Cricetulus griseus: one gene and its partner. The protein of the gene in region 1 binds, or shares a complex with, the protein of each later gene. Links are inferred from orthologs where the notes say so. Each region holds a gene or a part of one and is shown on either strand. Other genes may lie near its edges.

Region 1 (3,914 bases):
CGCGCGCGCGCACACACACTCTAAATGTTAAAAAATTCTGAGCTGCCCCCCTGGGCTGGTTGGAAGAGGTTGCCTGCACAACCTGCCCAAGAGACTACAGTTCTCTGTGGAGCCCTCCTATCCAAGGGTCATACCCCACACCCAGGCCTGCTTCCCTGCTGACCGTCACATTCATGTGAGCTGAGGGTTCTCTAGGGTGTTCTTAGGGTAAGAAATCGCAAAGGATAAGAGCCTCCTTTTGCCTGTTCATCTGCTGTGAGCCTATCCCCTCCTTTAAACTTCACTCCTTCAATGCTCATCTCTGGTCTACTCTTCTTTGTGGGGCACAGATGAACCAGCCCAGTCCAGCTGTGGTCATTGTTCTCCCAGTGGGACGCTCTTTGGGACCTCAACCAAGGTCACCAGAGAAGTGAGCCTGGCTTGGATCTAGCTGAGTAGGTAAGTCTGTAGGTTTGGTGACAGCTGAGGTGGATGGGCTTTGTCCACACCTGTACACATCTGGACACAGAAGCAGCTCCCAGGCTTAGAGGAGAGAATGGGCAGGCTGCCAGGTGTTTGCTGACTCCAGCTAAGCCCAGGGATCCCACAGAGTGGTGGGTGGGTGGGTTGGCCAAACCTGTCCCCTGGACTACACCCCTTAGACCTGAAGCAGGAGATGGTCCAGTGCACTGATATGTCCCAGCAAGGACCCTGCAGAGCCACACAGGCATCTGCCCTTCTGCTTTCAGTTAGAGCTTTGAGGAGTTCTAGGGGCTCTGTACCGCCACACACAGTGAGGCACAGGGCCTGGAACCTGGTTAACATAAGATAGATAATGCTCACAGGGGACTGGATGAGTTAATAAAAAATAGGGAAAATACCTTTCTCAGAGGGTGGCTGGTAGGATTAAACTAGCTGATCTGCGCAAAGTGTATAGAACAATGGACTGGCAAACAAAAAACACAAAAGCATTTGTTGAGTACAAGTAAAGAAAGGCCTGTGTGCACACACTCACACTCATATATGCGCACGCGTACATACGCAAACAACTGTGCTTTTGCCCTCAGAGTCCTGTGCAGATCCACAGTTCCAGGCACATATGGACTTGAATACCCACAATCCCACAGACCGACCCAGATGCCCACAAAGCCCTACTCGGATGGCCATACAGGCACACACTCAGGACACCTTATCCATCAGCCAGTCTACACCATGCACACGTATGTGTACACACACAGAAGTCACCAAGGGAAATTCAGCAAACAGCTCTGCTGCCCGTGCTTGGAGCATCTTCCGGAACAGCAAAGCTGGGCCCTCTGAACTTGTTTCCCTGTGTACAAGTTCCTTTCTGGGGTAGTCTTTGGTTTTGGAAATCCATTACTGGACTAGAATTGGGAGGGTATGGGCCCTGATAATAGAGTGCCGGGGACCACAGAAGGAGAACATCAAATACAAGGATGTTAGGAAACGTCTCTCATGCTCTCTTCACAGATGGGCAACTGAGGTGTGGGGAAAGGCAGTCCAAGGTCACTAAGCTGTAGGCTGAGCTGGAGGGGTCCCAGAGCTCTTGTGTCCTCGGATTCAAGGCTCTGTTCTGTGGAGGAAGCTGCTTGCCCTGTCTTTCTAGAGCTGGATCAGGGTTGGGGTAAGGGGGCAACAAGACCTTAAAGTCAGGCACAAAAGCTGATTCAGGAATGGGCTGGATACTTTGGTAGGACTGCTGCGAATATGAGAGGATGGAAAATCTCCCCTCTCAGAGAAATGGCTCCCAGACCCTAGCCCAAGACGGGTCATGATCTCCCTCAGTGTCTCCAGCCCTCATCTATTTGTCTTTGCTGTTCTGAGTCTGTCCCTGCTGGAGTCGAGAGCTCTCATCCTTACCCTTTGTCTGTCTCTCTCTAGCCCTCTTTTCTATCTCTTGGTCTCCATTCCGAGGCCATGCACAGTATCCCCAAAGATCAGCCCACTCTCCAGCACGTATCTCACAGGTGTACTGGGGGGGAGGTCTTTCAGGGGACTTCCATACCACACCACACCCACCTCCCTGGGCAAACGACTTCTACTTGGGGTAAAGCTGTCCCATTAGCGCATAATCTGTCTATTTGTGGGATCCCCAGAGTTGGAGGGGGTTCTAAACCCTATCCTCAGTCTATGTGATTTTTCTGACTTCTTGCACACAGCTTTGAGCACGGGGTGCAAACAAAACTTGCGAAAGCAGAGGCCCCCAACGCAGTCTGTGGGACTCCACACCCAGAGCCCTCTGGATCACACTGTCACCATCGAAAGAGATACATACGACCAGAGCCGTGTGCTCACAGAAGCACGGCGTAGGGAAACTCCAACCACAGATTTCCAGACCCAGGACCCCAAGCCAAGTCTTCAGAAGCGGGGAAACTTCAGACATCTGGAACCTACGGTAAGACACCCCAACGAGAGCAGGCACCAGGATTCCTGGTTCAGAGCAGGGGCAGCATCCCAAAGTTCAGACTATTAGGAGAACCCACGACTTTGCGCCTACACTCTCCCCAGGGATCCCAGAGCAACTCCAGGATTCCTGTGTTTGAGTGTAGACCGAGAGGGACTTACCAGCGCATATGCGGAGCTGAGCACTGGGCAGCAGAGCAGGAGCGCCAGGCCGGGTGCGATCCGGGCGGCCCCCATCGCCACCGCCTAGGGCCGCGTCCCTCGGGGCAGCCGCCGCCGGCCCTGGTGATGGTTGGAAGGTGCAGAGCTGTGTCAGGCCGGGCCGCCCCGCCCACACCCCGTCCTAGGGGACCCCGGCGTCCGGGCGGCCCGAGGCCCCGGAGCCCGGTGCGGGGCCCATACGCCGAGGGCGAGCGAGAGAACCAACCGGCGCAATGGAGAGAGGGAGGGCGGAGGGAGGGAGGCAGCCTAAGGCCGGGCGGGCGGCGGGCGGGCGCCGAGCGCTGCTGAGCGGCCTGTCTGCCTCGGAGCGGAGAAATCACATCCATATGGCTGGGCCCCCCGCCCCCGGCCCGCCCCCCGCTCCCCTCCCGCGCCGCCTTTTCTTTCTTTCTCTCTGTCTTTTTCCCCCCTCTTTTGGGGAACTGGGAGCCGTGGCTTCGCTCCACGCCCAGTGGGAGGGGCGGGGGAGGGGTCGGGGTCGCGGTCTGCGGGGGGCGACCAGGCTGTTATTTTTAGCTCCGCGGCAGTGGGCAACAGGGGAGCTGGGGCGGGGCGGGGCAGGGGGCGCGTTCTGAGTTGCGCGGGGCGTGCAACTCCGGGATGCCATCCCGACTTTTGCAACGGCGCTGAGCCCTTCGGTGTTCCTGTCCCCAGCTCGGGGCTCCCCGGCGGCACTGCGGCCCGGCTCCCCAGCCCGGTCTGGACCCCCCCAGGCCCTGGGCAGGCACCTCCTGCCTGCGCCCCAAGTCCCGTCCTCCGAACCCGCGCCGCGTGCGCCCGAGCGGCACGAGCGCTTGCTCTGCGGCCCCGACGTGGGGGCAGCCTGTCTGCTTGTCCGTCCGTCTCTGGCTAGCGCCCCCCGCCCCCGACACCCCCCTCCTCCCCGGCCTTGGCCTCTGCCGTTCCAGCCGCCCCAAGCTCGGTTTCGGTCACTCCCTCGCTTCCCCCTCCCCTCCTCTACGAAAACATTTGCGAGTTTCCAAAAAAGCCACCGACTGAGCGGCCGCGGGCTCCGAGGAGGCGCCGCAGACTGACACCGAGACCGAGCGGCCGGGCCGGGCCCGCCCTGGCCGGGCCCCGAGTCCCTGCGGCCCGTCCGGCGCCCCCACGCGCCCGACCCCCCCAAACCCCGACTTACTCGGAGCACGCCGCCGCGGCCCCCCGCCTGGCCATGAATGTCGGGGCCCCCCGACAGCCCCCAAGCCAGCGCCCGCGCCCCGGGGGGACTTCATGGACTCTCGGGATCCCCCCTGGCTGCCCGGCCTCCTGAGCCCCCGCCTGCGCTGCTC
Region 2 (3,914 bases), on another chromosome or scaffold:
CTAATCTATTTCCCCTTCCCAGGGAGATCCATGCATCTCCCTTAGAGCCCTCCTTATCATTTAGCCTTTCTAGGTCTATGGATTACAGCATAATTATCATTTATTTTACAGCTAATATCCACTTACAAATGAGTGCATACCATGTTTTTCTTTCTGGGTCTTGGTCACCTTACTCAGAATGATTTTTTTCTGGTTCCATTCATTTACCTGAAAATTTCATGATGCCACATTTTAAACAGCTATTTAATACTCCATTGTGTATATGTATCACATTTTATTTATCCATTCTTTGGTTGAAGAACATCTGGGTTTCCAGTTTCCGGCTACTATGAATAACAGTGTTATGAACATAGTTGAACAAGTGTCTTTGTAGTAGGACAGAACATCTTTTGGGCATATGCCCAAGAGTGGTATAGCTGGGTCTTGTGATAGATCAATTCCCAATTTTCTGAGAAACTGCTATATTGATTTCCAAAGTGGCTTTATAAGTTTGCACTCCCACCAGCAGGGGAGGAGTGATATCCTTGCACCACATCCTCACCAGCATATGCTGTCACTTGTGTTTCTGACAGGTGTAAAATAGAATCTCAAAGTAGTTTTGATTTGCATTTTCTTATGGCTAAGGGTGTTGAAACATTTCTTTACGTGTTTCTCAGCCATTTGAGATTTCTCTATTGAGAATTCTGTTTAGATACGTACCCCATTTAATTGGATTATTTTGTTTATTGATGTTTAGTTTCTTGAGTTCTTTATATATTTTGGATATTAGCCCTCTATCACACACAGAGTAATAAAAATCTTTTCCTATTCTGTAGGCTGCTCTTTTGTCCTATTGGTGGTGTCCTTTGCCTTGCAGAAGCTTTTCAGTTTCCTGGAGTCCCATTTATTAATTATTGATCTTAGTACCTACACTACCAGTGGCTGGCTTTTCTATGGGTTCTGAGAACTGAACTCAGGTCCTCCCACTTGTACTTGTTCAATGAACCATCAATTCATCTCCCTTATATATATATCAAATATACATAAAAATATTTTTGGAAAGCTGATCAAAGATGATATGAATTGGTTGGAAATGGCTTGTAAAAAGCATGCTATATGATTTCTTAAGGAAATAAGTGTATTTATTTATAATGTGCTATAACAAATAACAAATACAGTTTAGGCTGTATTTTTAAATACTGGAATAACTTTATCATAAATATTTGAAAGGCCTGGTGGCAAATGTCTTTAATCCCAGTACTCATGAAGCAGAGGCAAGGTATTTCAGGCCAGCCAGGATTACATTCATGAGACTCTGTCTCAAACATTTAATATATATATATATATTCAATATCATCAATTATGTCAGAATTTTCTAGGTGGTGTGATCGGTATTTGCAGCAACTCCCTTTGTAGGTTCTTTATTCAGCACCTTGCTCTTTATCTTCTATTATCTAATTATCTGAAACTTTAGAGGAGTAGGCACCGCCCAATGAGGGTATGTGGCTGCTCTGGTCCTATGGTTGAGATCCAAAGAACTGGGAGTGACATCATATTTAACAATAAAATGCTCCTCTTGGTGAGCAAAAGCCTACATAAGAAATGCAGATCTGAGGAGCTGCAGTCCAGTTCATCCGCTGTCTCATTCTCTCCAGCTTAATACAGCACCAGTTGGTGGCACTCCTAAAGGATCCTCTCTGAAGTCTTTGTATGGTAAGGAGTCTCTCAATTGGCCTTCCAGATTCTGTGAGATTTTGATAATTGAACAAGGTTTTAATGCATACCATTTTCTACCAATATTATGTTATTTTCCATTGTAAAATGTTAAGGGGAGGTTAATTTTGCTAAATATAAAATGTAGCAATAAAATATATTTTTTATGGTAAGAAAGTCATGAATCCTATATTTTTATGATGAAAACTTCTTTGAATACCTTTTTTTTTAAACCACCTGAAAGTACAGAAAATTGATGATACTCTTTAGTGATCTCCTTATTATGATTCAAAAATTTGGAATAAAAAACCGGCTGGTGGAGAGACAATAATTCTGATGTAAAAAGTCAACAATAATTTACCATGTGGAGTATATTATTTTCCTGTAGGGTATACGTATCTATATTTTAAATTTCATGGATTCTAAGGAGCTTAGCCTTTTACTAAGGTTGCATTCTTTTCACTGTTGAATAGTCATTCCTTTTACACAAAGAACAGCATTTTCTAATCTTTGTGTAGACATTTAAGGATGCTTTATGGTGATTTAAGCTCTTTTCATGGCATCCCTATATAAGAAGTCCATCTTCCTCAAAAGAACAAGAAATGAAGCAGAGATATCACTAGGTCGCCTGAACTGATGTGACCAGACACCCATGCTCCTGTTCACCAGCTACAGTGCTTGTGACTGAGCCCCGATTTTCCTTTATTATTCCACTGATAGCTGTGCAGTGCACAGGGAGGAGAAATGTTGCAGACTGTAAGGTCTCTTATGCTACTTTAGAACTAGAAGTTATACTAAACCATAACTGCTAAGTTGAAGCTATAAGATGCAGACAGTCATTTTATTAAGGGTCAAAGCTCCAAGAACAATATGTAAGAAATTAATTGGTTTTTAAATGCCTTGACACATACTTTCTGTGTGTGTGTGTGTGTGTGTGTGTGTGTGTGTGTGTGTGTGTGTGTGCGTGTGCGCACGCGTGTGTAATCACACAGGTGTGAATATGTATGTGCATGTGAAGGCCAGAGGCCAATGTTGGATATCTTCCTCTATCATTTTCCACCTATTTTTTTTAAGACTTTCCCAATGCTAAGGTTCCAGGTACAGTGCTGCTGTACCCAAAAATTTTATATGGGTGCTGGGTCTGAACTCAGGTTCATGCTTGTACAGCAAGAACTTTACTAATTGAGCATGACACATGTTTTTTTTTCATTGTGAGAAGTATGTACATTATTAACACAATAAAGATATCAAAATTAAACCTTATAGTTAGACATGATGGTGAATGCCTGAAACCCTAATGTGCCAGAGACCAAGCAGGAAGATCATAATTTGAAGGCTAGCCTGAGCTACATAGCAAGATTTTATCTCAAAAGTAAAAATAAAACTCTACAAATTTATGGTTATTATGATAGCATCTGAAAATAATTTTCATAATCTTGATTATGAAAACAGTGTCTGATCACTAAATAGTGATAATTTACCTAATTAGTAGATTAATGAATTTCAGGCCTATTATAAACACTTAGGCCAGGCGTTGGTGGTGCACGCTTTTAATCCCAGCACTTGGGAGGCAGAGGTAGGCAGATCTCTGTGAGTTCAAGGCCAGCCTGGTCTCCAGAGCAAGTGCCAGGATAGGCTCCAAAGCTACACAGAAAAACCCTGTCTCGAAAAACCAAACAAAACAAAACAAAACAAAACCACTTAGGCATAGCCAACATAAATAATAGGAAGAAATCATAAAAATGCTCTTTATTCATCATGTGTTTTAAATTTCATATTAAAATTTGAACAAGAAATTCAGAAAGCTACCTAAGAAAATCATGTATCCAATTTCCCTAAGTTATGTGTGCATGTTATATTACTAATGTATCCATCATATGAAGAGGCTTATTCCAAAGACTCAGGAAAAACAGCTCAATTGATCAGTGTGATGTCAGCTAACTGCTGATTGCTTAGGTGGTTATAAAGAACAACTACTAGGACTTTAGCACACTGACGGTATTTTAAACCATCTCAATGTTGTTTCTCCTTTCAGTAAAGATGATGTCTGCAAAAGCCATGGCTAAAGTAACGATCATCATGCTGGCACTTTGTCTTCTTACCCAAACAGATGGGAAACCTATTAAGTAAGTGCTTCAGCCCACTCTGCACTGGGAAGATGTGGACCTGAGGTTTTGTAGTAGGGTTTTAGGACGGGGACATGGGGAACTAATGGCTCTTTC

What was found.
Region 2: the proteins of Pth1r (region 1) and Pth are in contact, whole or in part, in a cryo-EM structure (PDB 9JR3), measured with the Homo sapiens proteins. The link is inferred for Cricetulus griseus from reciprocal best matches to the Homo sapiens genes PTH1R and PTH. Residues at the interface, in NP_000307.1 of Homo sapiens: Val31, Met32, Thr33, Lys34, Glu35, Gln37, Ile38, Leu41, Glu111, Trp112, Asp113, His114, Ile115, Ile135, Tyr136, Asp137, Phe138, Arg146, Arg162, Thr163, Ala165, Tyr167, Val171, Leu174, Thr175, Glu177, Glu180, Arg181, Phe184, Leu187; in NP_000306.1 of Homo sapiens: Ser32, Val33, Ser34, Glu35, Ile36, Gln37, Leu38, Met39, His40, Asn41, Leu42, Gly43, Lys44, His45, Leu46, Asn47, Glu50, Arg51, Val52, Glu53, Trp54, Leu55, Arg56, Lys58, Leu59, Asp61, Val62, His63, Asn64, Phe65.

What each region holds. Positions count from the first base shown.
Region 1 is NC_048597.1:218,233,788-218,237,701, forward strand, and holds the start of Pth1r (parathyroid hormone/parathyroid hormone-related peptide receptor), read right to left. Parts: upstream 2,641-3,914; coding exon 2,566-2,640; intron 2,396-2,565; exon of another isoform or gene 2,166-2,395; intron 1-2,165.
Region 2 is NC_048596.1:87,293,136-87,297,049, forward strand, and holds the start of Pth (parathyroid hormone), read left to right. Parts: upstream 1-1,471; coding exon 1,472-1,558; intron 1,559-2,080; coding exon 2,081-2,081; intron 2,082-3,727; coding exon 3,728-3,818; intron 3,819-3,914. UniProt on the Homo sapiens protein: Parathyroid hormone elevates calcium level by dissolving the salts in bone and preventing their renal excretion. Acts by binding to its receptor, PTH1R, activating G protein-coupled receptor signaling.